3 linked regions of the Danio rerio genome follow. The protein of the gene in region 1 interacts with the protein of each later gene in a pairwise test. Links are inferred from orthologs where the notes say so. Each region holds a gene or a part of one and is shown on either strand. Other genes may lie near its edges.

The links.
Region 2: the proteins of trim55b (region 1) and usp13 interact in a two-hybrid assay, tested with the Homo sapiens proteins (2 studies listed by BioGRID and IntAct). The link is inferred for Danio rerio from reciprocal best matches to the Homo sapiens genes TRIM55 and USP13.
Region 3: the proteins of trim55b (region 1) and tcap interact in a two-hybrid assay, tested with the Homo sapiens proteins (2 studies listed by BioGRID and IntAct). The link is inferred for Danio rerio from reciprocal best matches to the Homo sapiens genes TRIM55 and TCAP.

What each region holds. Positions count from the first base shown.
Region 1 is NC_133199.1:28,792,519-28,803,408, reverse strand, and holds part of trim55b (tripartite motif-containing protein 55b), read right to left. Parts: 5' UTR 10,769-10,890; coding exon 10,649-10,768; intron 9,927-10,648; coding exon 9,757-9,926; intron 7,313-9,756; coding exon 7,135-7,312; intron 3,503-7,134; coding exon 3,407-3,502; intron 2,397-3,406; coding exon 2,163-2,396; intron 1,353-2,162; coding exon 1,330-1,352; intron 1,251-1,329; coding exon 1,126-1,250; intron 1-1,125. UniProt on the Homo sapiens protein: E3 ubiquitin ligase that plays an important role in regulating cardiac development and contractility, muscle growth, metabolism, and fiber-type differentiation.
Region 2 is NC_133181.1:31,935,528-31,946,417, forward strand, and holds part of usp13 (ubiquitin carboxyl-terminal hydrolase 13), read left to right. Parts: intron 1-502; coding exon 503-687; intron 688-1,993; coding exon 1,994-2,088; intron 2,089-3,227; coding exon 3,228-3,418; intron 3,419-3,924; coding exon 3,925-3,996; intron 3,997-4,249; coding exon 4,250-4,343; intron 4,344-5,950; coding exon of another isoform or gene 5,951-5,953; coding exon 5,954-6,079; intron 6,080-10,890. UniProt on the Homo sapiens protein: Deubiquitinase that mediates deubiquitination of target proteins such as BECN1, MITF, SKP2 and USP10 and is involved in various processes such as autophagy, endoplasmic reticulum-associated degradation (ERAD), cell cycle progression or DNA damage response.
Region 3 is NC_133178.1:19,971,544-19,982,533, reverse strand, and holds tcap (telethonin), read left to right. Parts: upstream 1-5,690; 5' UTR 5,691-5,795; coding exon 5,796-5,944; intron 5,945-6,621; coding exon 6,622-7,012; 3' UTR 7,013-7,559; downstream 7,560-10,990. UniProt on the Homo sapiens protein: Muscle assembly regulating factor. Mediates the antiparallel assembly of titin (TTN) molecules at the sarcomeric Z-disk.

The sequences.
Region 1 (10,890 bases):
ATAGTTGTGACTGTAATGGAGACCCTTAGTAATGCAGGTAAAGCTCGCTTCCATGGCCTCAAGAAATTCATTAGCATCCTCACACCTGCAGCTTCTCCAGCAATGGACGTCCATCGTTCTCCAGCCTTCGGCGCCTCCACTGCAGCTCTCCACAAGAAGTTTGGGCAGAGGAGAAATGGTCGTGCCCTACTGACCCTGGTTTCTCTTGAGGTTTTGTCCTTCACTTTAGTCAACTGGTGAAGTTTGTTCCTCGCCACTGTCATCACTGGCCTGCTTGGTTTGGGACTTGTGGAGCTGTGCATCGAGGGATTTGCTCTTCGCTAAACTGAACCTCAACTCTGAAAACTGGACTGACACAGCTGCTTTGACACCATCTACATTGTAAAAGTGCTATAGAAATATAGTTGCCTGCCTTTCGTTCCAGAAGTGACAGTTTGAATCCCTTCCCAAGTGGGATGAGTAGAATTAGAGGGGTTATAGTGGTGCCATGACCCAGATGGAAGCCAGTTTTGGGAGAGGTAAGCATAATGGAGGTAAAACTGACTTCTCTGGTCTTAACTAAAGCACTAGCCTCGGTCACTAAAACCAGGGGAGTGTGGTTTTGATGACCTCCATTACTCCAAAACTGCACACCAATTCCAATAACCTAAATTATGAAAAATATATCACTTAAGGTATTGTGAATAATCTCAAATAGGCAGTCAAATCAGCCAATCAAAATGCATTCTGCTCTAATTCAAGCGTGACACACGATGCAACTGATAGGTCAAATAAATATCATTCTTGTTGTGAATGGACTTAAAAAGTGTAAAATCAAAAAGCTGCATTTTCTCAACCCACTTGAGTATAAAGATACCATCAACTCCACTATTCTGACAGTGTCTAACGCCACATTTCTGCTGGTTCTTTTTAAAAATTGGCTTACAAATTTGATTTAATATACTGAAAAGACGGCTGGCTTTTGAATTGGTTGCTCGAATCAAAATTTGAAAACATCTCAAGGACTTCTGAATGGAGCGTGAAAAGGTTACTTTCATGCAGTAATCAGTTCAACAAGCTAACCTGATTTAAACCCAAACATGTTGATAGCTGAAGCTTAATCAGGCATTTCAGGTGAAGTCATACCTCTGATGAAGTCAATATTGCGCAGGGCCCTGCCCTCTCTCTTGAAGTGTACAGAGTAATGATCCATGCTCTCATAGCCGCGCTCCACTCTCTCCAGGTGTGAGGTATTCGATGCCTTTGCAATTCTAACAAATAAGAAATCAATCTGGTGTATGTTCAACATGAAAAATACGCATTAAGGTTGCAGAAGGGATCGTCACTTACTTTTGCAGAAGGGGTTTAGCATTCTGTATGACGTAAGAGAGAAAGGGGTTATTTATTTTATGAGAGGATAACATAAAAAGTATGAGATTATATTTAAAATTTTTTCAGGGTTCCCACACATTTTTATGAATCAGTTTTCATGATTTTGTTAAATGGACTTCTGTGCCAGCATTTTGAATTAATGGAGTTCAACATATATGCTTTATAGCGTATTTATAACATAATATAACATTTTAGCATGTTTTCCCCTAAACAGCATTTATATATGATCTATCATAAAATATCAACTTTTTCTAAATTTCTGTTTAATGGAAAGGTTTTTTTCAACACATTTCTGACTATAATAATTTTAAAAACTCATTTTCAACAACTGATTTCTTTTTACCTTTGCCCTGTTGACAATAAAAAATATTTTACTAGATATTTTTCAAAATACTAGTATTCAGCTTAAAGAGTTTCTCTAGGTTAATTATGCAAGTTAGAGTAATTAGGAAAATTATTGTATAACAGTGGTTTGATCTGTAGACATTCAAAAAATATAGCTAAAGGGGGCCTATAATATTTACCTTAAAATTACCTTAAAAGTTTTTTATTATTATTATTAAAAAATGCTTTTATTCTAGCCAAAATAAAGCAAATAAGGCTTTCTCCCAAAGAAAAATATTATAGGAAATACAGTGAAAATTTTCTTGCGCTGTTAAACATAATTTGGGAAATATGTGAGAGAGAAAAAAGTACAGAAGGGCTAATAATCGTCACTTATTATTATTATAATTATTATTAATATTATTGTGGTAACCCTGTTTCTATAACCTATTGTAGGTTTACCGGACCTGTAAGAAAACAGCCATCTCTGGTTCTTCCAGTGTCTGTATTCCTGTCTCCATGATTTTGGTCATGAACTCCAAATAATCTCCATACTTCTTTGTGAGGCCACGTATGTAGTTCAGCTTCTCTTCCTGTTCGGAACTTACTTTCAGGTTCATCTCTCTCTTCCTTTCCTCAAGAATTGAGTACAAGTGGTCAAACCTTTCACACACCTTGGATTTCTGTCGTCGGCCATTTTCCTGGAAATATGTTTAAATATGAATTTAGTATAAAATGCAATTCAGTCACATTCATAAATGTACAGTTAGATATTTATATACATTACTATAAAAAGGTATAAGGTGTATTTTCTTTAAAAAATGGATGATAATAATTTAGGTTATTATGTAATTTGTTTACAAATATATTCTTTTGATCCCCTCTGTTCATCTATTCATCATTTTGACAAAATATTATGTAGCATCTGTTTTCAATAATAATGCAAAATATTTAAAGAGAATAACCTGCCATCACATGAACAAATTACATTGCAGCATATATGAAAATAGAATATGGTTATTTTAAAATGCAATAATATTACAATAATAACTATGTAATAACATATTAACTATATATATATATGTGTGTGTGTGTGTGTGTGTGTGTGTGTGTGTGTGTGTGTGTGTGTGTGTGTGTGTGTGTGTGTGTGTGTGTGTGTGTGTGTGTGTTTTGCATCAAATGATGTGCGTTAGAACCCTTAAAAACTCCCAACTATTACAAAATCTCCAACCAATCCTAAACCCTCGAGTGTTTATAGCATATAATCTTCCTTTTATTATAATCTGAGCATAAAATGATGCAGGAGAAAGCCACTTAATCTGCACGTGCAATGTTTTAAAATGTGTAACTGATTGACTATGGACTGCCAAAAGTTTAAGATTGATCTTTAGAACTTGTCTAAATCAATAGTTTGACTACCTGTTCCTTTTCTTCGACCGCATCTAACCCTTAACCTTGCGCACAATGACTTTCCGTCAGAGGAGCCATATGCTCAACAGAGACGGCTCATTTCTGCTTGCTTGTCAATCATGGATCCTCTGCGAACGCAACTGTGAGGTCTGGAGAGAGTCCAGCTTCCTGCCTGCCTGGCTCATTGATGCCAGAGCGTGTGGATCTTTTGTCAGAGGAAGCGTTGTTACGTTCCTCATCAATAATCCTGTTGTTCTGCCAGGCTTTGGGGAGGGAGAAGCCCCCACACAGGGTGACTAACCTCTATGGTTCTGCAGGTCTCCTCCAGTTGACTGATGATGCCTTGGATTCTGTCATTATTGCCCACCATCATTGCTATTCCATCCGAGAGCTCTGTCTGGAGATGAGGACGTGCGTAAGCATATTAACACACAACTGTAAAAATATATGCTGCGCCGACAAGCGCATGCATGCTGACGCAAATTCTGCCATACTTATGCACACAAAAATAAAGGGCCCAATTACGCCTTATTTACATCAAGTGACGCAACCTGTATAGGTCATGTGACAAATTTTATTCATACTAGCCATTCGAGATAATACCTACTTAGTATGCAATTTTTAATTGCACTGTATATCTTTATCAGCTTCGCATTATTTATTGTTTAAAAAGCATTTGCTTTGCAACTCTCTGTGTCTGAACATGCACATGACTTATGATAGAAACACATTTGTGACTGTTGACAAGAACATCAGTCATAACTGTAATTCTTTTATTGAATTGAGATTTATACACTATCTGACAGCTTTATTATTAAGCATTCCATACTTTGTTAGGATATATTTGTACCATATTTGAGGTATAACTATGTGTAAACCTTGAATCTGAGGGTCCAAAAAATCTAAATAAGGGGTCACCAACATAGTGCCCTGTTAGGGACTGTTCTAAAAATAGCTCACCACAGTGCCACTTACCAGTAAGTGCCACCTAATATTTTTGTAGCTATTCTTTTTAAATCACAATTGCATTGTGTAAATTTGAAAATGAAATAAAAAAAAAAAACTTAAAAATATTTCATATTAGCATCCACAGCAACGGTGCAGTAAAGGGGAGGAGAGGATTTGAAAACATGGCAAAAAAAAAAAACAGAAAAAAAACATAATTTTCAAAGTGAATATAGGAGGAAGAGTTCTTTTTGTAATTAATTTAGTGATGGCAAAGCACACAATATTGAAAGACATTTCAGAAAGTGTCACGCAAGCTAACATTACCATGCTAACTGCCCACCGGGCAGCGCACTACAAATGGAAAAAGGCTGGAAGGTTTGTGAAAACAGCAGTCTTTTTTTCACAAGAATGGTGAAACCCCCCCAAAAAGCAACTGAAGTCTCATTTAGAGCTACACATTTTTGATTAGAAAAACAAGGCATTTTCAGACAGGAAAGCAAAACTGTGCTTAAAGACTAATAAATATAGCCTCCACTCTCTCCGATGTCCAATTTGGGGCAACAACAATGGTTAGAAGAGTGTCGACTATGTTAAAAATGCTGTAGATTTGGTGATAATTTCAGTAAAATCTGAAAGTTGATTTCTGTTACACAATTGATAATCTGTACGAACATGGTACATTGTAGTGCATGGTTTGTTACAAAATGTTAGTGGCTAGTGAAAATATTGTAGAAGTGATCATTTGAATATGTAAATACTTTAGAGATTTATAGAAACAAAGTGTTGCATATAGATATTTCTGTTTCCTAGCTTGTTAAATCATTGTTGACAACTATTGTGAGAAATCATTTACATAATCAGTGTCTTCACATAGATGAATATTATTAATTATTGATAATAATCTATAATTAAAAGTAAATTGAGCAAATTTGTTATTTGACAAGTGTGTATCAATCTGGTAGCCCTTTACATTAATCAGTACCCAAGAAGTAACTCTCAATTTTAAAAAGGTTGGTGACCCCTGGTCTAAATAATGAGAAAATTGTCTAAATGAAGTGCTTGACAATGCATATTACTACTAATCTACACTACCTGACAAAAGTCTTGTCGTCGATCCCAGTTGTAAGAGCAACAAATATTAACTTGACTTGAAGTTGATCATTTGGAAAAGTGGCAGAAGGTAGATTTTTCAGATGAATCATCTGTTAAACTGCATCCCAATCATCTCAAATACTGCAGAAGACCTAATGGAACCTGCATGGACCCAAGATTCTTGCAGAAATCAGTCAAGTTTGGTGAAGAAAAAATCATGATTTGGGGTTACATTCAATATGGAAGCGTGTAAGAGATCTGCAGAGTGGATGGCAACATCAACAACCTGAGGTATCAAGACATTTGTGCTGCCCATTACATTACAAACCACAGGAGAGGGCAAATTCTCCAGCAACATGGCGCTCCTTTGCATACTTCCACATCAAAGTTCCTGAAATCAAAGAAGGTCAAGGTGTTCCAGGATTGGCCAGCCCAGTCACCAGACATGAACATTACTGAGCATGTCTGGGGTAAGATGAAGGAGGAGGCATTGAAGATGAATCCAAAGAATCTTGATGAACTTTGAGTCCTGCAGGAACGCTTTCTTTGCCTTTCCAGATGTCTTTGTTAATAAGTTATTGGAGTCATTGTAAAGATGTATGGATGCAGTCCTTCAAGCTCATGGGAGTTTTGGTAAAATAAGCGTAATTTAGAGGCCTTTGCCTTTCATTTAAGCCACCTCTGATACCCAATATCAACTACAAGTTATTATTTGTTGTTCCTAAAACTTGGATAAGCTTCAAGACGTTTGTCAAGTAGTGTAAGACTACTAAAAGTTTTGATAGACTTATAATAGGAAATTTACTAAATGTCTTCATGGAACATGATTTTGACTTAATATTCTATTGGTTTTTGGCATAAAAGATAAATCGTTAATTTTGACCCATACAGTGTATTTTTGGCTAATACCTAGTAATAAGTAAACCAGTGTAACTTAAGACTGTGTTGCAGGGTCAGATTTACATAAAACATTCCTCAGTACATCAAAAAATACATAAAAACAACGCTGTTGTTTCCTGTGCTGTTGTTTCATGTTTACTTTACTAAAGCAATCGAACATCTTTGATCCAATCACATTGTGATTGTGTGGTTTTCAACATCATTTAAAATCTTTAGGAAGTTCAACCAATAGAAAATAGATCTCATGTAGGTAAGGTGGGTTTAGGACCAATCAGGCTCTGTTTTACAGTAGAAACAGGCTTTGATTGGATTGATCACATCTCAATTTACAATTACAATTCACCAAAAAAATTAATGGAAAGTCAGCCCTCATCCAGCAAGATCTTATTAGTTTGTACTTATTCTTTAAACGTTTAACTATGTAGAATGTGATCATAAAAAAATGTGTTTCATTTTTTGCGTGGTCCGAATGAGTGTAACTTGTTTACATGCACAAAACTATAGCTATATTACACTTTAAACCCACATAGAAATTGTATATATGTTAATATATGCAAATTACATAAATGACAAAAAATTTAAATATTGTAAAAATGGTCATTTTCATATATATATATATATTTTTCAATCCTTGGAATTACATATATGTAAATTTGTTCAAATATATGAGCTATAATGAATAAATAATTATTAGATATTTAATTATATTAATTTTATATTATTATTAAAGTACATTATTATTATATACATACACATACATACATACATACATATATATATATATATATATATATATATATATATATATATATATATATATATATATCTCATATTATATTAATTCTTTTTCAAAATATATGTACATATTGTTATTCTAAATTCATATGGTTGAAAAATAAATATGTAAATGGACATTATTGCAATATTTTAAAATTTATATATTGCAAATTTATGAAATATAAATCCAAATATGAACTTGTGTCATGTACTGGTTATAATTTGCATATATTTCTATGTGTCAGATTTCTATATGATAAGAAAATCTAATATGTAAAAAAGCAATATGCATCAAAAAGCTACAGTTTTTACCTTTTGCGTCTGGTAAATACTGTCAAGAGGGGCCACTTGACAGTCCTTATGGGCGCCGAACACTTTACACATAGAACAAGTGGGGACGCCACAGGTCAGGCAGTATATGTTGATTTTCTCATCCTCATGAACCTCACACATCGGCTGGTCAACCTTTCTCTCAGGAGAAGGTCTGCTGCTGTGTAAAAAACAGATCTATGAGTATCAAACACTGAGTATGACAAAACAGATCAGTACTTTTCGAAGCCCTCGACTTTGGTTCAAATGTGGACAGGACTCCAGATCAACGGTTAATCAAAAAACTATAGAGTTCACAGGGCCGTATTGAGGGTCTATGATGTGTGTCAGTGTGTCTATGAGACTCAACTCTGACTAGTGGAACTAAAAATAAGTCTGCTGCCAGCTGACCGTCATCCTTAGCCTTCTGACCCATCTGAGTCACAGGTCTCGAGTCACATGGACATCTGTCTATTGCAGTACAATAACATCGGCTGCTTTAAAAGATAAACCTCCCAGCCAAAACAAGCTGTTTTGAGTTTATAAAGTGAAACGCTGAAGTGGGATGCAAAGTGGCGGGGCGGTGGAGAGTTTAATCGTTCAACCTTGGGGAATTTCAATCTTAAAAGCCTGTCTGTTCTCATTATGAGACTTTTCTTTCTTTTCTTTTTTTTGAAAAAAAAAAGTTTCTTCATGAACTTTACTGAATGGCTGGAGGATTATTCCACTGAAATAGGTGTATATTGAAGGTAAATTTAACCACAAAAAAAATTTAATAAATTAAAATGATCCTTTGGTAAATCATAATTCTAGCAAAAAAGTATAATAAATACTCATAATTCATCCAAATTATCCTAATTCATTACAATTTTTACTTTTTGTCATATCTTTTATGTAAATATTTATTATTTAAATTTATTATGGCTTTAGCTCTTAAATTTGACTTTTGATGTCACCATTTAAACTATTTAGGTTGACTTATTATGTAAATGATATAGGTTTGATCTATTTTTTATCTTTTTTTTTATCTTCAAATGTCACAATTACACACACACACACACACACACACACACACACACACACACACACACACATATGCTCAGCATAAATGATTTGAAAAAAATATTTTTTTTTAAATTAATTTCTCAAGGGAATATAGCTAATATATTTTGGTCCATTTAGCAAAACAGATTTATTAAACAGATATTAAAATAATATTTAGTCACTGACCATCTTTAAAATAAAAAGATAATATATTTAAATTCATGTAAAATTCATGTAAAATATTTAAAATATATATATATAAAAAACTAGAAGATTTTATATTTTCCTCTTTATTTCATCTTTTATTTAGGACAGTGGAGGTTACAGGCAAGAAATCATTGGGAGCAGAGAGCTGGGAAGGTTCGACAAAGGATCTCGAGCCGGGAATCGAACTTGGGTCGCCATGAGCACCAGGATGCTATATGTTGGCACACTTAACCACTAGTCTATTGGCACCAACGCTATTCTTATAAATTTGTCTATAATATTTATTCCTAATGTATTAAATTGGGCTACTTATTTTTTCATCTCAATAAAAATGATGTAATTGACCAGGTTCGCTACGTAATTGACGATCGTCTACACCAGTGGTTCTCAAACTTTTTTCATCAAGTACCACCTTAGAAAAAAACTGTCTCTCCAAGTACCACCAAAATGAGCAGCATTGAAATACAGTAGCGTAGTTGGCCCAGTAAAGCAGCTACAACTCTGCACAGTTAAAAAAACCTGGCAGATTACCTCGGAAATATAGCCTATATATAATATATGGCATATTATATACATCATTTTTAATAAATTTTGAATTATATGTAGCATGTACATGACATATTTCATTCCTCCGTGTACCACTAGAAGGAAGCCCGCGTACCACTAGTGGTACACGTACCACAGTTTGAGAACCACTGGTCTATACCTCTCCCTACCCTAAACCCAACCGCCACAGTAGCATGGGCAGTACCTTAGTGGGTGGTACAAGGTTCTTCACGTAGTTGACGATCCCATAAACCTCCCCTACCCTAAACCCAACTGTTATAGTAGCATGAGTGTTACATTAGTGGGCGGTACAAGGTCCGCTACATAGTGGATGATCGCCTACACCTCCCCTACCCTAAACCCAACCACCACAGTAGCATGGGCGCAACCTTAGTGGGCAGTACAAGATCTGCTTCGTAGTTGACGATCGCCTATGTCATTAAGCTGCGGGCTGCAGTGAGGACATCTTGCATTTTTAGCTATACATTTTGACTTTATATGTCAAATTAAATGGATCTCATTTTTTGAACAGTGATGACAAGTTGGTGACCAGTCTATTGTATAAATAAATAGAGTGAATGGTCTAATCTAGTTTATACTACATAGTTTGGGACACAACTGAAGTTTTTCACTGTAGTCAGACAAAACTGCTTCACGAATCTTTGCTGCATTTGCGAATGGTCACCATATGGAGCTTTTAGATTTTCCCTTCTCTGTCTAAATCATTTGTGATTTATTTATTTTTAGGTACTAAACACAAGGGATCTTGTAAAACCATATGGACATAATATTAGAGATTCCCAAAGCATTCGTTTTCCCAGATCTAACCTGATGTACTCCTGTTTGTACATGTCAATGATGTTTTCCACCAACAGGTTTCTCTGCAGGCCGTAAACCCCATGACGGTCCAGCACAACTTCATGTCTGCAGGATGGACACCTGAAACGGCCCCCTGATGTCACCGAGCCTCCTCTGATTGGAAGGTATGGATTTGAAGACTAGAAAGGTAGTGTGCATGGGACAGCAAAATAATAATCATTGTATTACTGGAGATATTATACAATTACTCATGTCTTAAGATAACCAATATTATAAATTATTAATTATTGTAATTTAGTTTTATGTTCATTTCAGCTATATTATGGCTTTATATACTAACTTTTATCACATAGTCTTGCCTTATTTTGGTGTTATTTCTCATAGTTATGCCTTTTATCTCAGTTTCACTTTATATAAATTTATGTCTCTTAATATTTATATTTGTGACAATTTTGCCTTTTGTAAATATAAATGATCTCTTAATTTACTTTTAATGGCAATTTTAACTTTTTATCTTTGTGATTTACCTTATCACAACTGGTATTATCATATAGTTAATAATATTTAATTTTATGTTATGATTTACAATTAATTACACTACAATTATATATATATATATATATATATATATATATATATATATATATATATATATATATATATATTTATATATATATATATACACACACACACATATATAATCATAAATAAATTAATTATGACTTATAATTTTGATTTGTCATTATTTTAGCTTAGCCTATTATTTACTTTTCAGCTTTTTTCATGACTGTAATTAAAATTAGCATATAGTTATGTCTACGTCAATTTTAAATTCAACGACTGAAGTTTTTGTTCAGTAATAAATCATGTTGACAAACCAAAAACATCGTAATAACTGTACCTGGAATATGTCATTAGCACATTTCCGGCAAAGATTGTGTTGACAGGGAAGAATCACAACCGGTTTCGTGAACATCTCCAGACAAATGGGACAAATAAGTTGCTTCTCCAAGCTGTCCATCCTGATCTGGCGAACAACGGCTCCAGTGAAGTTGAGAATGAGACCGTTTTGGTTCGCGAAAATTAAATTGTTCCAGTCCTCTGTCGCGGGGTGAAATCAGGCCCAAGCGCTTGTCTGTACCC
Region 2 (10,890 bases), on another chromosome or scaffold:
AATGATTAATAAACTATTGAAATTAACATTTATATATTTTATTTTTCCAACCATAAATTATTAGTTACTTACGTATGTAGGTTAATAAATACTTTATTAACACAACTTTATTAATGCAGCAGTTTTGTGACCTAATCTAAAGTGAGGACTATTCATGCTTTAGAAATATATATATATTTTTGTAAAAAAATCTCATGTTAATGTTTTAATATAATATTTTAACTTTTTTTCATTTACAGCAATCACATTTTTTGCAATAGTTAATAAAAAAGTAAAGGAGATTACATTTTTTAATTATCAAAAAAATAGCAGCCAGTTGATTGGTCTAGCCAATTTATTTGTTGATGTGTTGAGTTAATCAGACATTGTCTGCACGAACGGAATGCAGCATGTAGTCTGTGGATTATAGAGTAACAAAGCCTCACCTGCATCACCTGAACTGCAATACGAGCAGTTTCTGTCCTGTCTCACCATGTCTTCAATATGCTTTATGTCCTATTAGCGGATGGAAGTGTGCCAAGTGTGAAATGAGAGAGAACCTGTGGCTAAACCTGACGGATGGCTCTGTCCTCTGTGGGAAATGGTTCTTTGATGGGAGCGGAGGGAACGGACATGCCCTTGAGCACTACAGAGAAAGCAACTTCCCCCTGGCAGTTAAACTCAACACAATCACCCCAGATGGAGCAGGTAACTGTCTCTTCATGTCTGGTTTGTCTTTTTGGAAATATGTTGACCTACATATATAACACGCACACATATACTCACCGGCCACTTTATTAGGCACACCTTACTAGTACCAGGTTGGATCCCCTTTTGCTTTTAGAACTGCCTTAATATTTTGTGGCATAGATTCAACAGGGTACTGGAAATAATCCTATAGGATTTTGGTCCATATTGACATGATAGCATCACGCAGTTGCTGCAGATTTGTTGGCTGCACATCCATGATGTGAATCTTTTGTTCCACCAAAGGTGCACTAGTAGATTGAGATTTGGTGACTGTGGAGGCCATTTGGGTACAGTGAACTCATTGTCATTTTCAAGAAACCAGTCTTGAAATGCTTCATACTTTATGACACGGCATTTAATCCTTTTGGAAGTAGCCATCAGAAGATGGGCACAATGTTTTCATAAAGCGATGGACTTGGTTTGCAACAATACTCAGGTAGGCTGTGGCGTTGACACGATGCTCAGTTGGTAGTAATGGGCACAAAGTGTGCCAAGAAAATATCCCCCATACCATTACACCACTACCACCAGCCTGAACTGTTGATACAAGGCAGTTTGAAATTCTGACCCTACCATCCAAATGTCGCAGTAGAAATCGAGACTCATCAGACCAGGCAAAATTTTTCCAATCTTCTGTTGACCAATTTTGGTGAGCCTTAGCAAATTGTAGCCTTAGTTTCCTGTTCTTATCTGACAGGAGTGGCACTCGGTGTGGTCTCCTGCTGCTGTAGCCCATCCGCCTTAAGGTTTGACATGTTGTGCTTTTCAGAGATGATTTTCTGCATACCTCGGGAGTGGTTATTTGAGTTACTGTTGCCTTTCTATCAGCTGGAGCTAGTCTGGCCATACTCCTCTGACCTCTGGCATCAACAAGGCGTTTGCGCCCACAGAACTGTCGCTCACTGGATATTTTCTCTTTTTCGGATCATTCTCTGTAAACCCTAAAGAAGGTTGTGCGTGAAGATCTCAGTAGATCAGCAGTTTCTGAAATACTCATCTGGCACCAACAACCATGCCACATTCAAAGTCTCTTAAATCCCTTTTCTGCTCCATTCTGATGCTCAGTTTGAATCACCTTGACCGTGTCTACATGCCTAAATGCATTGAATTGCTGCCATGTGATTGGCTTATTAGACATTTACATTAACAAGCAGTTGGACCTAATAAAGTGGCTGGTGAGTGTATATTAAAAATTAGCAAAAACTGCTAATTCTTTCATCATTTACTCACCTTTTGTTTGTTTCTGTTTTTTTTTTTTTTGCAGATATTTATTCCTTTGATGAAGAAGAAGCAGTACTTGATCCTCACATATCTGAACATTTATTACATTTCGGAATTGATATGCTACAAATGCAAAGGGTATGTTTTATTTTTTTATTTACAAATTGTTCAAAATCAAATGATATTTAAAACTATCTAACTATGTAAAGATACGTAAAGAGTATTAATCACAATTTTTAAAAGTTCTTAAATGTAAATTTTTATTTTAATAACTGGTTATTCTTTTGATCATTCCTTTGCGTAATTGCTTAACTGGATAATAATCCAAGTGGTATTAATTATTAACATTTACACATTTTTTTAAAAACAGTTCATTAAAAGTTCATTTTTAAAATGTTGATCCACAGTCTGTTTACTGTTATCTTTAATACAGTGAAACCTGAAGGCTAAGACTACAAATATGTCAAATGTAACTATGCTATGGTATATATTATGTGTAGAGTTGGGTAGATTACACCTGATTACAAGTACTTTCATTTTAAAATCTTATTACATAATCCGGAATGCATATAATCTGTTACTATCCAGCACTGATTATGAAGCTCTGATAAAATATGAACATAAGCCAGTAAAGTATACTTGCAATGTACTGTTTCCTTTTTTAAAATGATTGTGAACATTTTTACAGACAATCTCACATTTTCACTGAATCACAGGATTTTTATTAACATAGCTCATATTGACATGAGCAGAGTGTATGAGAATGTACAAAATGATATTACAAATTTATAGTTCAGTTATTAACTAGGCACTATTTCAGTAAAAGAGGTTGTGTCAGTTATATTATGTGTGTATTATTTATACACATGTTTTGCAATTAATAAAAAATGGAACTATAATCTAACAAAACAACTTAAGATTAAGGTCCAAAAATTAGTACACCCAGTTAAATAATTTGGGAAAAAATCTTAAATAAAAAATGTATAAACAGAAGAAAAATAACATAAAAATATTACATTTAGTTGTAGTTTGTAAATTTTCATTTGCTTATTCCTAAAGATGACCAAACAATTTTTAATAGAAATAACTGTTTGATAAAATTGATTTATTTAAATGCACCAAAATTACTGACTAAGTATAATAAATTAATACAAATTATACATATTCAAAAATGCATGTTCTCATTTATGCTCAGCAGGTGTGTGTAGTGATAAAGCAAAATCAAGCTACGTTCTCTGTTTTCAACCTTTTGGATTGTTCTTGTGCTTACCTTCCAGACAGAGAATGGCCATCATACAGACAACCACGTTCAACCGCGTATCAGTGACTGGGAAGTGATTCAGGAGGCAGGTCTAAAGTTAAAGCCTGTCTATGGTTCAGGATATACAGGCATCAAAAACCTGGGCAACAGCTGCTACCTGAGCACCACTATGCAAGTGCTTTTCAGTATTCCAGAGTTCCAGAGAGCGTGAGTACATTCAAGCTTCCTACATACTCCTACCATTGTGTTAAGTTTCATTTATGACAAAACCTGCTTTACTACAGTTTGATTTGTGTGTGTGTGTGTGTGTGTGTGTGTGTGTGTGTGCATGTTTGTGTGAAATATCGGGAGACAAATTTGTATAATAAAAAGTTTATGACACTGATAGACAAGGAGAAAGTGACTTATGAGGACATTACCCATGTCTATATTTTTCAATAGGCTTATAAATCATAAACAATGATATTTTTATTTTATTTGAGAAAGTAAAAATGCTCACAGTTTGCTGTGAGGGTTGGGTTTAGGGATAGGGTGATGGAAAATACAGTTCGTACAGAATAAAAATAATGTAAACAGACAGAATGTCCTCACAATTTACAAAAACAAGCATGTGTGTGTGCCAGACTCTAAACCATATTCAATCTATGGTTTTTACACAATGAATTTAGTATGGATGTGCCTTTCTCGACAATATGTTATTGCATTTATTGTAGGTATGCTGGGAACCTACAGAGAATATTTGACTACTCACCCCTCGATCCAACTCAGGATTTCAACACACAGATGTAGGTGTTTTTGTCATGTAATTTTTATTGTCATTTTACATTTATTTATTTATTTATTTATATTTTTTATTTTTAAAACTTCAATTTTTTTAAATTTCGCCTATAGTACTGTATAACATATTGCAATATTATGCCAAACTTTATTACCAGTAATATAAGTTTGATTGATAATATTTTGAAATGTTAACAGCATTTGATATCTATCTTAAGTTTGCGTGATTCATACATGGCATCTAAATTGGTTATTTTCAAGGGCAAAACTTGGGCATGGACTTCTCTCAGGCCAATACTCTAAACCTCCAATGAAATCAGAACTTATTGAACAGGTGATGAAAGAAGAACACAAGGTATTTGACTTGGTCTGTCTTGTTGATATTTGGCTTAATTAAGTTGGCTCGTCTGTGGTTACAATTACAAGATTAGCAGTTGCAGCCTTTGGCATGTTTTTTTTTTTTTTTTTTTGCATTTTTACACATATGACAGTCAGACAATCTTAAGGCCAATTTACACCAGGAATGGGCCGGTATGAGGTTTTGACAGTATGATAACCTTGGATAAAAATATCACGGTTTCACAGTACTGTAATTTCTGCTCAAAAATATATTATTTTAAGTGTCTGGGTAAAAAAATCCTACTTTTTTTCCACGTTGAACACAATATATTTTATTTTGAGAATCATTTAAGATATTTTGGAACAGTAAACATTTCTGGCTAAATAATTCAATTGAATCATTGACTTCTGCTGCTTTTTTTTTTCACAATTTAAAACAACGCCATCTTTGGATTTGTTTTCTGCTGGAGATACTGTTCTACTTAAGCACGGGTGTCAAACTCAGTTCCAAAAGGGCCGCAGCTCTGCACAGTTTAGTTCCAACCCTAATTAAACAAACCTGAGCAAACTAATTAAGTCCTTCAGGCTTGTTTGAAACCTACAGGTAAATGTGTTGGAGCAGGGTTGGAACTAAACTGTGCAGGGCTTCGGCCCTCCAGGAATTGAGTTTGACACCCCTGTACTAAAGATACTGTCCTAAAAAAACTAGAAAAAAAATGGAAATAAAAAATCTTACAAATACCTTGGGAACGGTATGGCAGAAAACTTTTTTTAACCGTAGTATACTTTGAAAACGGTTATTTACACTGCACCCAATAGCAACAGACAAGTGTTTTCACTGATTCAACTGGTTCTTACTGGGTTGTGTTTATGGTGTTTATGGTGTCTGACAGTTCAGTGTAAATTTGCTTTTATGGTTCTTGCATACGGACAATTATTTGAATTAACCTGGATGCCAATCATTAGGAATTTGAAGTGAAAACAGCATACAATAAAGTTGAGTAACGTTTATGGATGTTATGCAAACAAGCAATAACACAATGTGGCACCTACCTATGAAAGCTTTGTACTGCTGGAGATTAAAAAAAAAGCTTTACTCATAAGCTTACATCACACAATTTTCAGTTTATATATCATAGCTGTGAGACATAGGCTAATTGCTAAAAAGCCAAGGCATTTTTTTCCCATGCAATTCTGCATTGAGATATATATGAAGAAAAGAAAGTTCTGTTCTGATTTTATAGTTTGTGGATTTATTTTATAGAATTGTCTGCTTATATGGAATTTGTGTGTTTCTTACAAGTTTGAGTTTATATCTTAAAGTTAAAATTGTTGTAAGTTTATAATTAAACCACAAATTAAAAATTCTGAGGAAAAATCAGGATCGAGAGACCATGTTCACTCACAATTACATATTATGTTTTTGTATCTTGCATTGACTTTTTATTTTATCTTCATGCTGTATTTAAAAACAAAAGTTAGAGTTTTTCCTAAAGTTAGAGTTTTAAGAGTGGCCGTTTAAGAGTGTTTAAGTATGCCACTCAACAGATTTAGTGATGCCATTTTACAGTGCAATTGGTGACCCTGAGCCTAGATGTATCATGTTGTTTTCTTCTTCTGCAGCAGCAGCAGCAAAGGGGGATTTCACCTAAGATGTTCAAAGCGCTGGTCAGTAAAGGACATCCAGAGTTCTCCTCAAATCGACAACAAGATGCCCATGAATTCCTCTTGCACTTAATTAACCTGGTTGAGGTACGAATGCGCTTCTTTTGTTAAAATACAATGTTTTCTTGACCATCGTGATTATTTTGCATTTTTTAAAAATAATTTACCTGAGAAATGAAAAATCCTTCATATTCACCCACATGCCGCTCCAAACCCGTATGATTGTGTGTTAAAAGAGCAGCTTGAACATTTTTTGGTAAACAATTTCTTCTTTTGCTTGTCTCTTTTTGGAGAGACGTTTTCAGAGGGTTTCTAGGGTTTGGTTGGAATTTCCCCAGACATGTTTGTGGACTTTGAGTCTTGTCAGCAGGCTCTGGTTTCAGGAGACACATTCGACTGCACTCTGCTGGCAGACACACACTTGAAGTGACTTTCTCAACTGAGCTAAAATTAGACCCCCCATATCAGTTACACAGGACAGATAATGCTTCCTGTTACCCTCTGACTTGGTCTGTGGCCAGAATGAAAGCCATTGCTTGACACTTTTCCATGCCTGAAAAACAAACAACAGCAGAAGCTATGCCCTTAAACTGTTATATTCTAAGCTATAGTGTTGAAGTTTTCGAGAAACCCAATTCTCAGCATATTTACTGAATGTACACACTGATTAGATTGTTCAAAATGACTGCTGTATGGCAGGTGCTTGGAGAGGAGGGGAGGGGATGGAAAATATAAGTGCTTGATGACATCAGCTCAATAGTAAAGTTTTCTAGGATGTAAGCAACATAGATGATTGTGGATGAAACAGAGTTTAGTAGAAATTATTTTCATACCGAATTTTGGGATTGATAAGTTTTTAAGGTTTCCAAAAGAATTCGTTTTTGATTATTTGTTTCATATTGTGAAAGATTATTATTGTTTTAAAATGCAGTTTATTTTTGTGATATCAAAGCTTAATTTTCAGCATTCGAAAGAAAACAATTCTCTAATTATCAATCTAATGATCTAATAGTGAATCTGATGATTTAGCCCTATATGTTTTTCAGGATTATTTGATGATTAAACGGTCTTCCCCTTGTTAAGTCGTGACATATCGGTGACGGATGGAGTACCAAGCCGTTACTTATTTGAAGTGAGAAAATATTCGTCTATGGCCACTTTTTAGTCCTATCACACATTGCAGTGAATTTTCTATAAAATCATGGTGTACACAACAGTCTCTGGACTTGCTGCATCACAAATACCAAAATTTTAACAATTAAAAAACAATAATTAATCACTTTCTGGCCATCGGATATTAGGCATGAATTTATACATTGTGATCTTGATTTTCGAAAGTATTACATCGCTTTGTAAATGTTTATTATTACCATTTGGTGGGTCTCCCCATACAGTTTGATGTTGCGCTTGGACCCAAAAGTCATTTCGCGTGACGTCACACTTAACAAGCGGATACTTTTTCTGAAGGGGTGTTCATAAGACTATCATGACACCTTTAAAATATGATGTGATAGGTCATGAATGTGAAGCAGATTCTTTGTATGCATGCAACTGTCATTAAGGGTGCTTTTACACTAGCACTTTTGGTCTGCACCCAGGTTCGTTTGACGTCAGAGAACTCGGGTGCATACCCATGAACTGTACCTGAGTCCACCTGAAAGAGGTGGGCTGAAGTACGGTTCATGTAAACTCTAGTCTGGTTTATTTCTGGTATGAATGCAATCGTACCAAATAACAGAAGTGAACCGCCGACAGTGCAACAAACAAATTGTTTTCATAACGTTCGTTTGTGTGTGTGTATGTGTTTGTCTATGTATCACATAATGTACTTTGGTGCCAAGCAGGATAATGTCTGCTTGTCTCCTCCATTAACAGCTTCTGCGGACATCGCGTTATGTTCTGAACATTTATAAAATTTTTGTGCCGGATGGACGCGAGTCACTTTCTGTATGTCCAAAACCAAAAGATACAGTAAAAGCAGAACGACTGCGATGTGTGGAGGTCTTTCCATTTTGGCGCTTTGCTTTTGTGGTTGTCACCTAGCAACAGCTGTACACACAACAGCAGCTCCATGACGCAAACGTACCGGGGTTCAGAAGTAAAAAAACAGTGTGAACACAAACCAGCCGAGAAGGTGGTAAGAGGCGACGATCGAACTTGGGTTTGGACCAGGCAATTGAACCAAGTGTGAAAGCATCCTATTCGCTCAGTTGTCATTTTATATGCAAGGGTGACATTGTTTGAGGTGCTTTGTTATGACACCGTGGCAAATCAAAATACATCACAACCTGTCTTTGTCAAGACAGTTTTGGTGTTTTGATATTATCAAAACACCAAAACTTATCATAAATCTGTCATAAACATAATTGTCATGAGGCCATTATAATTGTGTCATGAATATTTTTCTGATTACTTTTTTCAGAGAAAAAGAATATGTCATCGTTTAAAATTTCTCAGTAAAAGTGTCAATACTAATTTTAGAACAGTGCCATTAATATTTAATTACATTTTAATGCCAAATTCAATTTTTACCACTGTAGTTGAGGTCAACAAAAACTTTAATAACTCTGTTGTAAAATTCATGACTTAATTATAATGGTCTCATGACAGTCAAGTTTATGACAGATTAATACCATTATTTAAGATATAACATGATTCATGTTTTCTTGGTAATGTTGAATTGTGATGAAAAAGACAAAGGCAGGTTATGATGTATTTGTCTATGTCAAGTTATTAAAAAAGCATGTAAAACAATGCACTTAAAATAACTTATGATTATGATATTGATTATAAAGGTTTCATAACAGTCTTATGAACACTTCCATCAAAATAAAGTTTTACCAAATAGGCAATAAATTATTATTATTTTTTAAATATGAATCATTTGTAAACATTTAATTCCTAAAAATATAACTTTTGATCAGTTTAATACATCCTTGCTGAATAAGTGTACTAATTAAAAAAATATTTTATTGACCTAATTAAAAAAAAAAATAGTGATGTGATAATACATCATTCATTACCATTGTAGCTGGATATAGTGTTAGAACAGACACTAGAGACCAAAATTTCAAAGACACAATTGACACTTTTAAGCAAGCACACAGGAATCATTTTTAATAGAACAAACCATTGAAAAAAGACAAAAGAAGAAAAAGTTTCAGTTTAAATTTTTTTTTACTGGTTATACAGAGCTTGACATGTTTATATTTTGTTTTGATGCGATACTACGAATCAAACCCTAATCTTTGGTGACATTTGCTTTGTTCTTGAAAGTACACATAAACTAAGAAGGTCAACTACATAAAACCAAGACAGAGCTATAGTCTCCTGAAATGTTTAGTGCTCAGAAATGTCGACTGGTTTATTTGTAGCAGTGCCTTCTGTGAAATAGCATCAGTCGTGTGAACAGTGAAGGGACCTTACAGTGCATTTCTGCATCCTCAGCAGGTTTGTTCTCTGCTCAGTGGTCTCTGGTGTCTCAGTCTTGGTATATTAAGGCTGGTATATTTCTGTATGAACCCAAAATAGCAAAACTGCTGTTCAATGACCTCGATGATCTTAATTAAATGCCAACTCTGTGTTGTACCTAAATATGTTTAAATGTTAATATATTGTTGAATTAGTTTTGCTATTTGTTTTTGTAGAACTGTTATCTATATGACCGTTATTCCGTTTTTGTATCTTTTTTTTTGCTTATAGCCATTGCAAAACCTGCATTACCGTCTTTGTTCTGAATGTAAGGGAAAATTATGAAGAATTTTGATAATCAAACAGTTTCAGTCTTCAGTGAAAGTGCAACTATACAACTGTATGGTTAGTTAAAATCATTCTTAAAAAGATCTTCAATTAAAAGTTTAATTAAAAGTTCACTTAAAGAAAGAAAGTCAGGTTTGAAACAACATTAGTGTAAGTTGTGACCCAATTTTATTTTATGTGGAAAATTTTGGGCAATTGTGTTTCTGTAATGTCCCAGCAGGCACATAAAGTCAACGTGTTGTCAGATTGATGTTGTACTTGTACCCCAAGATCATAGGGACATTACATTTAGTTTGGAAATGAAAATCAGGTTGACATCAGAACCCATCGTTGTCCAGGCCAACGTCCAACCTAAATTCAACTAAATATCAATGTCTAATGATGTCTCAGCTTAATAAATTTAGGTCAGGGGTCTCAAACTCGCGGCCCGCGGGCCATTTGCGGCCCTCAGTGCAATATTTTGTGGCCCGCGCCGACCACTGTACTCTGACAGAATCAGCGGAGCGGGGAGAGAGAGCGCTCCCCGCTCCGCTGATTCTATCCGTACACAGCGCGCTTGTCACTCAATGCGCGTTGTCGCGCGCGTTCTGATCAGCTGTGTTGTCACGCGCGTACTCAAGAGCGGTGTTATCGCGCACCTACTGAAGGGCGGGACCGAGGGTGTGTCGCGTCGCGGGGGCACTTTTGATCATTTTGGAAGGGCACTTTCTATGCAAGACTAAAAAGGGCATGTGCTCTGCACAGGTTGAGCCCTATGTGTGCACGTGCCTGCCCTGCATCTTGTGTTGATATTATAGGTAGATACAGACTGGTACAGACTGATGTGACTGGAGTGGGGTGGGGGTGTTTTATTTATACATATATACGCCTTTTTTTTAGGCGAGGGAATGGAAGTTTTGAGTGAGTTTCCCCACTTTTTTCCCTAGGACTTCAATAAGTCAAAGTGCAGGTCTAGACTTGATGATCATCTTCAAGCCATATTGAGGGTCTCAACTGCTCCCGCTCTAAAGCCAAATGTGGTTCAGAGTTGTGAGAAGAAGCGCTGTCAAGTCTCTGGCAGCAAGAAGTAGGCAAAAGATGCCATGTTCAGAAGAACTGTTCATAATCTTCACTCAATGTTCTATTAATGTTCAGGACAC
Region 3 (10,990 bases), on another chromosome or scaffold:
TAATGTATGAGTTATGATTTTGTCCTTGAGGAAATTGAAATGCAATGTACCTAAAATTACTTACACATTATAGACATATAGATCTAACTACACTCAATGGCCACTTTATAAGGTAGACATGTCTCTAAGGAATCTCTTAGGAATATTTGAATGACCACTTTGTTGAATCTATGCCACAAAGGATTAAGGCAGATCTAAATGCAAAATAGGGTCCAACTTGGTACTAGTAAGGTGTAACTAAAAAAGTGTAAATAAATAAATGCAACGGTTTATTTATTTTTTTATAAACGCTTTTGCAAAACTCTTCACACAGTGAGCACAACAGAAGTCTTTGTGAGCTAAACTAAGGATCAATTATCATTGTTTTGGCACAAAATGCATTCAATGACTACATCTCTCAAACTCTTTTTTTCTCACTCAGACACGACAACTGCCAAAAATCTTTGTACATACAGGACGTTTTGTCCGTGCTTACATACTGTTTTCCAAATTGTTAAACTTATGTTCAAAACAGTAACTTGCAGTTTTTCTTCATTGCTTTGATGCAGTCGTCAACTGAATCTCCACGTTTTCAAAACAGTAAACACACAAGCCTAAACAGCGGCACTCATGGTCAAAATGACACATTTGCTTGCAAAACGCACATACCGTGTCAAAACATTTAAAATATGCAACAAAAGCTAGTTTTACCTTCAAACAACACAACTTTCAAACAAGTATATGAGCTCTTTCAATCAACCATACCACAATGGAATACAAAATACAGAACTCAGTGTGCATCATTGCTTGCCATTGTAGACTATTGCCAATGCCGTTTATTGTCTTTCTATTTGGGCTGTCAAATTTGCCTTTTTGCAAAGAATTGGATCCAGAATAAGACATGCTTTGATTACTGTAAATATTAGAGAAAACATGTGTAAACCAATAAACAGTCAAATCTATTAGCCACTTTTGACCTCCTCCATCTATGCTAGCACTGAAGAACACAGACCTTCCACCGTTTTCGATGTTTGCAGACTGATTGCTAATTAAAGATTTGTGTGATGGAGTGTCAAACCGGTGCTTCAGTGAATTCATACTGATCTTGGTAGTTTCTAATTGTTAGGAATAAATGGTTTCTGTTTGGTTACCATAGCTAAAACAATGGAGTTTGGACTAATTGAATGACATCAGTGTTAACTGTTTTGAAAAACGGTGGGGAAAATGTGTCAACCCAATGAGAAAGGGTTTACATATTTGCAAGACCTGTCTTCTGCTCTGCTGGGATAGTGATGAGGAGAATAAAGTGGAACCTATAGTTTCTTTAACCAGGTCAAAGCAAACAAGAAAAACTGTAATGCAAATCTGAATAAGACAGCAAAATTCAATAGCAATATTTTATTGAAACATATTACAAATCTAAAAATGCAGTTTAACCAGCCTGAGCTGATTGTCATTGTAGATGAACATCTACACAGGTGTTACTTCCAATTTCTTTACAAATGGAGACAACTGCTGAATAGGTTTGCATTGTGATGTAAACATGGACCCAGCCAGAAATAGAGAAGTGGCTGAAAGAGAAACAAAGATGGCTGGGATGGAGCAGGCATGCCAGAAGATTCTTTCCTATACTGTAGGTGTATTGCCCTAGAAGACATAAGATGTGATGTGGATGAAAACCTGTGGCCAAATGGAGAAGATTGAGTTGATTAGCAATTGTTGAAATATTCAATAAATTCCATGGGTGTTCAATAAAAAAAGGTCAGGAGAGGGTTTTCTTCAATGTCAAAAATCATAATTTATTGGATTCAAATGAATGTTTCGATTCACAGAATTTTGTTATCCTCAATGCAATGCAAAAGTTGCATTACGGAGATGTGCAACAACTTTCATTTCCTGACTTCAACTTATATAGGCAGCTGATATTAACAGGTGGAGTTTAGTGAAATTCGTCATTCATTGTCCAGTGCGCCATTGGTCACACCCCAGACACGAGTCCTATTTTTGTATGAATTTTCTGCACAACAATAAAAACACAAGATTTTCTGTGTACTGTGTTCAGTTTAACATCTTTCTTTAGACAGAAGAGCAGCATGTATCTACTTCTGCAAAAATGCTAATTAGTATGCACAGCATCTCACACACAGCAGTAGAAGTTCAGTTAATATATGACCCTTAAATGACCGAAACAATTATTCGTTTAATTTGTTTGATGAAAAGAAAAAGAGACAAAAACAAAATAATACATTCCTTTTTCCTAACACATTGCTATTGTATCTGTATCAGTGGATGATGAATGATGTGTATACAAATTCTTGTATTTTGGAATTACTTAAAATTAAGAATAAATAAATAAATGACACAAAATACTGACAAATTCTGCATCTTGTCTGATTCATTCCAATAACATATTGCAGTTTTAAACAATATATATTGCTATTATAAACAGAGATTGTTTTACACAAGAAAACAATGTAATGCCACAAGTTGTTAGTGTTTTTATGTGTCCTAGTGTCTTTAAAAAAAGCTATAACTTTTATAATACATTGATATGCATATTTACATCTTGCATAAGCATCCAAAAAACCTGTGAACTTCATATGCTTGGCCATAAACAAATGTAGCGCATACTGTATGTCATGAGTGATCTACAGGAACGGCTTCATTACTGGAGTGATGTGACGTGGTTTCCTGGCTTTCATGCTTGTGTTCATGACTGGCATTACATTTCCATACCATAGTGTGCTGAGTGGCCAGATTGCATAGAGGGGGACTGTAGAAGAGTGAGGTCAGTTCCTGTAAAGTCCCAGTGCGTCACTGACAGAGCAGTCAATGACAGACAGGGGACAGAATGTGTGTGTAACATGAGAATCTTGACCGTCCACATCCTCTGTCCACACAGCGCTATATTCATCTGATGAGTGTACACAGAGCCAGAACTCACTGAACACATGCTCTGGCCATGCTTTTTAATATTAACTCTATGTTTGAAGTACAGAAAAACACATTGATTTAACTATTATTGACATTATTATTGATAATAATAGTATGTGGCCAGTGGAAGGTTGTTACAACTTTCCAGCTATACTATGTTACTAATAAATGCAGCAGACTTTTATATTTAAGCAATGTTTCTGTAAGAGATTACCAGTATAAAAGAAGATTACCAGCAGGGAACAACTGCCGCCACATGTTTATAATCTCATGTCTGTTTCCAGATCTGAACACTGCTTAGTTTCCATTGAGAGACTTATGATGTCTGTTAGCAAGGTCATTGGAGAAACAACTGTCACAATAATACACAATGCCGTAGAGATTTTGATGGAGAGACAGAACAAGAACAGATAGAAAGACAGACAGAGCGATCGTTAGATAGTGCTGATAAATACATAGATAAATCTGGCATCTTTTCACCATAAGATCATATTGATACTTATAGCCAGCAATTCATTATTTCATCTAATACCAATATAGTGGAATATCTATCATTATAGAAATGTAATGTGCTTAAATTGCAGAACCAACAAATTCAACCATATATAACATGAATATTAAATTGAACTGGAAAAGAATTGCAGAATCTATCATCAACAAAAAAGCACTTTATTTTTTATTCAATAATATAAAAAAGTAAATCATGTTTGGTCTCACTTTGTAAATACAATCCATTAGTTGATATTCCATTTATTAAGCCATAGTTTAATACAGTTTATACATTTTTTACAGTCACTTTGGTCCATTTCTCAGATCAGAATTGAAATTCTGTTCAATCTTCACATCAGTGTGGTACTTCTGCAAATCGAAAAAGCAGAATCTCATTCCTTTGATCAAATTGCAAATGCTTGCATACATCCATGTAAAATGATTATGTGCAATTCTCTGATAAAAATTATTGTCATTATGTAATTTATAATATTAATGTATTATTTTGATCTCTGTTTTGACCCCATCACATTAAATCGTTTGTTCATGGCATAAGTCTTTACATGCAAAATGGCTAAACACGTTTTAATTTGACTATTTTTTTTCCTAAATCTGTTTACAATTGATAAGTTTCTCCCAGGTGATCTTGACTTTTTCTAATGAAGGTGCTTCTCAGAGGAGATTGTCCAGTGTACACATTTCTACTTTTGTTTTTTCTTTGTGCTGTTATTTCCAGCCTGATCTAACGAGAAAAGTATTTTATGTTTTGTCAGTTTAGTCGTACGAAATTGTATGATTTGAAAAAGGAGGCGTGGCACTTAACCCCACCCCTTAACCCAACCGTCATTGGGAGATGGGCAAATCGTACTAAATTGTTCGAATAAGATCATACGAATTCATACGAATTAGCCACTAAATGAAAAAGTTACGAATTGCCGTGAGATTGTGTTGGTTTTTTCATCACAATGACATGATCTGACAACAAATTACGGTACAAACAGCAAAAAAAGCATCAGAAAAACCCTTTACAGGTCACATCAAAAGACCCCTTCAGAATACACTATTATATTGACAGCATGGCTAAGTAATTTGACTGTCATATCCGTACACAATGACACAACATGTTCATTGACATAGAAACTTCGTTTTAAGAGATGAACTAAGGTTTTTGAGCAAAAGACTGGGTTTTGCAGATAATCCATGGTGTTCTGCTATTTGTATGTGTTGGTTTTGAGAAATGCACTTACTGTTCTGCAAAATTTCAATACTGATCTGAGAAATGTACCAAAGCGACTGAGAAAAACTGTATTGGCATAATCACTATATGGTGGTATTGATAACAAAGCTGGATGGGTGGGTGGGTTTTACAGCTTAATTTAAAAATGTAAACTTATTGTAGTTTTATTATCCATGGTTTCATGGTGATATCTATGAAGACAGGTGAAAAGACACATTCTCTGAAATTATATAGAGAGAGACAGACAGGTAGGTATGTAAGAAGATGGATGAATGGATGGATGGATGGATGGATGGATAGATAGATAGATAGATAGATAGATAGATAGATAGATAGATAGATAGATAGATAGATAGATAGATAGATAGATAGATAGATAGACAGAATGATAGATAGATAGATAGACAGAATGATAGATAGATAGATAGATAGATAGATAGATAGATAGATAGATAGATAGATAGATAGATAGATAGATAGATAGATAGATAGATAGATAGATAGATAGATAGATAGATAGATAGATAGATAGATAGATAGATAGATAGATAGATAGATAGACAGAATGATAGATAGATAGATAGATAGATAGATAGATAGATAGATAGATAGATAGATAGATAGATAGATAGATAGATAGATAGATAGATAGATAGATAGATAGATAGATAGATAGATAGATAGGCAGGCAGGCAGGCAGGCAGGCAGGCAGACAGACAGACAGACAGACAGACAGATAGAAAGATAGATAGATAGATAGATAGATAGATAGATAGATAGATAGATAGATAGATAGATAGATAGATAGATAGATAGATAGATAGATAGATAGATAGATAGATAGAATGTGTCATGGAAATATGAGTGGTTGGGGATTTCTCAGGTCTTATATCCCTATCCCAGCGCTGTGTTAGAGAGTGTGTGTATGAATGTTTGGATATGTGGGTGTGTGAGTGTCAGATGACATATGTGTAGACAGTGTGTACAGGGTGATTCCATCAGACAGAAATAGCTGCAGAGTTGTATAAAAGCCTGAGACACACACTCCAGCGGACAGAGCAAAAGGAGTCCCTCGCTCACACTCAACCAGGACAAGAGACAGAAAAAAAGCACTGAATATACCAACTTGTAAATCAGGAAAAATCTGAAGCTGAAGATGCAGGTTTGCTCAGTCCTGGAGAAGAAAGGAGGCTGTGTGGTTGGAGCCGAGCTCAGCTGCAGCGTCAGGGAGGAAAACCCAAATAAGAGAGAGAGTTACACCGCTGACTGGCGCAGCATCAATATGAAGACACAACCTGAGGATCGGTGAGAAAATCATATTTTTGTTGTGATTTCTAATAAGTAATCATGTAGTTATTTGTATTATACTACTTAAATATTAAATATTATTTGCTTTTTAAAGCATGTGTTTCACAAAAAGGCTGTGCTAATGAAAAATATGTATATTAATGATTTAAACAAGATCAAGCAAATTAACAGAAATCAATAAAAAGATTAGGAACAAGTTAAATTTATTATTAATCCTATGCAGTTTTTCCTCACCAGTAGGCTACATTTATCATTTAAAGGTATAGTTGACTCTAAAATGAAAATGTTTTCATAATTTTCTCACCCTCAAGTGGTTATAAACCTTAATGAATTGCTTTCTTTTGTTGAACAAAAAAGAAGATAATTTGAAGAAAGCTGAAAACCTGTAACCATCGACTTCCATTGTAGGAAATATACATCCTATGGAAGTAAATGGTTTTCAGCATACCTCAAAATAAATTTGTGTCTAACAGATGAAAGCAATTCATAAAGAAACTCAAACAGAAACAAGTTAATAAAACCAGAATTTTCTGTGAAATATCCATGCATCTTTAGACATTTTTAAAACAACTTAGATCATTTATATTTAGTGCATCTTAAATTAATATTAAACACATAAAAAAATATCAAATCTTCCCTCTCATTTATAATTCTCCATGTTTCTCTCTCTCCAGCCAGTCGATGCTGATGTCAGACGATTCTCGGCGAGAGTCTCTATCCCGTTATTGGCAGGTGCGTCCTCTCCATCAGGCCTGTCCGTCGGGTGTGCGCAGAGTGGGCACTGTGGATACGGGTGTAAGAGAGCACCAGCTCTTGCCCTACAGGAACAGCCTGCCCCTTCCCATCTTCAAGCCTGCAGAACTGGGCGTCCGCCTGGGTCGTGGAGCTCCACACACCCTGGAGGATCTGCCACCTGTCCGCATCCCTGACGGAGTTTGTCCAGACAAGAGAGCAGTGGAACAGATCACCAGAGACCTGCCGCCTGTCAAACCCATGCGGATGGAGTTCGCCAAGGCACCCAGAGCTCTGGGACGATCAATGTCTCAGGAGGCCCAGAGAGGCTGAAAAGCAGGAAGACAAATATGAGTCAAAGACTTTATGGACGTTATTAAATAATGAGGCAATCAGAGGGAGAGAATCAGAGGGATTAAGAATGTAGAAACTGATTTTAGGAAAAGTAAAACAGCAAGTTTAGTGAGTGAAATAATGATAACAATCATAATGAAATAATATGCAAATGATGAAATGTTCATAAAGGCTGGGAAGAAAGAAAGATGATGATGATGATGATGATGATGACCTCGATGACAAGCCTAAAGGTTTTGTTTGGTGGGTTTTGAGTTGTAAATAGGATCTGCTTGTTTTGTATTGTCAATGTTCGAAGCACTTTTAATTGTAAGGACACAGGTTCATTTTCTGAGCTTGTGTTGATGTTTTTTTCTGCATGTCGTCAGGGTTGTTCATGCAAAAAGATAATTAAGCAAAAGAGAAAATTATTTATTTTTGTTAAAACTTAACGCCAAATAAGAATTGCACTATTTATTGACTGTTGATAATTGTTGACTTGTTGAAAGCTGATAATTACTTTAATAAAAGTTTTATCGGATCAGACCTGTTTTGTGTTTCATTACAAGAGAGAAAGAAAGAAACTTGTTTAAACAACAAAGCACAAACCCCGCCCACAAACAATTCTTGACATTTCATTGGTCATTTAAGTTTGTTTATTACAAAGCACTGAACAAATAATAACCTCAAACCTAAAGTTATTAATAGATTAATTAGTTAATTACATATTTTAGATATATAATAGATAGATATATGTATATATAGATATATTTATATTTATAATAGATAATATAATATTTATAATATGTATATATAGATATATTTATAATAGATAATATTATATTTATAATATGTATATATAGATATATTTATAATTAATAATATTATATTTATAATATGTATATATAGATATATTTATAATAGATAAAATTATATTTATAATATGTATATATAGATATATTTATATTTATAATAGATAATAATATATTTATAATATGTATATATTGATATATTTATATTTATAATAGATAATATTTTATTTATAATATGTATATATATATTTATATTTAAAATAGATAATATTATATTTATAATATGTATATATTGATATATTTATATTTATAATAGATAATAATATATTTATAATATGTATATATAGATATATTTATATTTATAATAGATAATATTTTATTTATAATATGTATATATTGATATATTTATATTTATAATATATATATTTCTTGTGTTTGGAGGAAAAATGCATGTGTGGAGTGGATTTTTTTTACATCAATTATTCAGATTGGCATGGATGAATATGATCATTTGAGGAACATGTTAACAATGTGAAAATATATCTGAACAATTTACACTATGCAGAAAACCATTCAAATGGGGGAAATAGTATTTAAGAATCTTAAAGCAAATTTCAACCCTCAATTCACTGGTCAGTATGCCATAGTTGAGAGGATTGATTCGGAAAGCAGTATGTCCTGGTGCAAGATTTTGAAACCAAAGATAAGCAATAGAGTCTGGGGTTGTGCTGAGGGGTACAGTGCTGAATTGATTTACATCATACATCTCTGACAGGAAGTTTTTTGTCAAGATTGGTAACTTTTCCTCGTCTATGGCACCGTTAACGTGTGGTCTTCCGCAAGGCTTGATTTTAGCACCTTCTCTCTTCTCTCTATATAGGTTTTATTTTCAAGAAATATGGCCTGTATTTGTATCTTTATGCGGACGATACACAGATTTATCTGTCAGTCAAAAAGGAAAATGACTCCTCTGTTGTGAACTCCCTGTCACTGCACCTGGAGGAGGTAAAGGCATGGCTTTCTGAGAATTTTTTATTTTTAAATGAGGAGAAAACAGAGGTTATTGTTGTTTGTAAACGCCCCAGGTTTGGCAAAATGGAGGAGTTTAAATCACCCCAAGTACATATCCTGGGCGTTGCATTAGATCAGAACTTAAAATTTAATAAACATGTTTCAAGTGTGGTTGGAAATAGCTTTTATCAACTTCAACTTATTTCTAAAATTCAATGAAATGAATAAAGTCTTCCCTCACTTCACGTTCTTGAGAAATTGTCATACATTCTTTTAGAACCTCCCGGTTAGACTATTGCAACTCTTTCTATTTTGGGCTGCCTCAGATCGATCACCTATAGTGCAAAATGTAGCAGCTAGATTTTTAACAAAAAGCCTGAAATATGCATGCCACTCCCATTTTAAGGACTCTCCTTTGGCTACCGGTGAGACAAAGAGTCAAATTTAAAATCCTTCTCTTTATCCTAACACTTGCTTGTTCCGCTGATCAGTTTCTATTAAAAGTCCCAAAGGTCCACTTTAAAAGCATTCGCTATAGCCAGTTCTTGGCTTTGGAATTAAAAATGTCTTCATTAATGCAAATTTTTAAGTCTAAATTAAAGACTTGTCTATTTTCTAGGTCGTTTCAAACATAAGTCCCTTCTACGGGGGGCCTGCGGCCTCGTTTTTAATCTTGTTTAGTGTGGTCAACTGTGGTGGCATCTTTTAACTAGGTGGGATTATTTAAAGGGTCAAATACTTTCTTGTTTTAGGCATTGAAACCAAACTGTTTTTGTATAATCTATTTTACATATTTTATGCTCTCTTTTACATTATGTGCCTATTTACTGTTTTGTTTACTCTGTACTGCTTGTTGTTCTTGTGGCCGTTTGGAAACATGCTATAGAAATAAATTGGACTTGAACTAATATTTGGTAGGGGGAATTAAGATTTTTTATATATATATATTTCAAGTAGTTAATAAAAAGTATTTAGTCAGTAACTTAGGCAGTAAGTTGTGCTGCAGAGACTTGATAGTATGGAGAAAACATTGCGACAGAAATCTGAAAACCCTCTGTTTCAAACTGAATGACTGGATTTTAGGATAAATGGAAAGAACGTTGAAAGAAACTACAATATTTTGTAAGTTCTTTTAAAAGAATAATAAGAAAAACTTCTTCCGAACCTCCATACAGGAATGATGTTGTTATATTGTTCAGCTTTTACAGTAATAATATTCAAAGTGTTAGAATAGAATACATTAGAATACAATTTTCACATTTCAGATCTCTGTAGCATCTTGTCAGCTGTATATTTTCTTCTACTGATGCAACTTTCTCTATAAACTTGAATGTCAGTGGGGAGAAAAAAACAAAAATGAGAAAGAGATTTTATGAAAGTTTAAGTTTTTTCATCTAAGTAACATGTAGAAAGAGTCCGTTTTAGTTATTAATTTAGAACATGAAAAGCTTCTTGAGAGTTTTTTTTGTTTGTTTGTTTTTTGGACACAATATAGACATAACTTCATTCCTGAATTAATTGAGTTCTTATAATCCTGCTGTCCATGTGTTTTAGAATATTGTTAGCAGTCTCAGGGGAACGTGTTGTGGGATGTGAAAGGCAGGATTGGATGGAATGGAATGTAAAGAGGCAGTCCAGCAGTGGTCAGAACAGACAGTCCTTTGGCATCACAACTGCTCTCATTAGCTTGTTCTTTAAAGCAATGCTTAAAATACTTTGGGTTATAGCTTTCTGGTCATTTTTAATTTTCACAGTAATAATTTACCTTTGATTGTATTGTAAAATTAATAATATACTATCTTGTAAATAACATACAGTTTTAGAGTGCATTTAAAATGTATTTTTCTGCTTGTGAAAACAACAACAATAAGGCTCATATAATAAAAAGTAAATAAGGAAGTTCAGACTGTTGATTAAAAAAAACAATCAAATCTATACAAAGTCACATTAAGCATTCTATTGAGCTCTATAGAACAGAAGGGTGAACAGGAGCTGTGACTGTGGTACATGCTGTCTGATTCATCCCCCAGAAAGCATTCAGTGATTCTGTGCCAAGAATGTCATCTCTGAGGACACTGACTTTGGATGCCTCTCTCTCTTTCTTTCCATCAATTTATTTCTTTCTGATTTCATTACTGTGCGCTAATTAAAATAT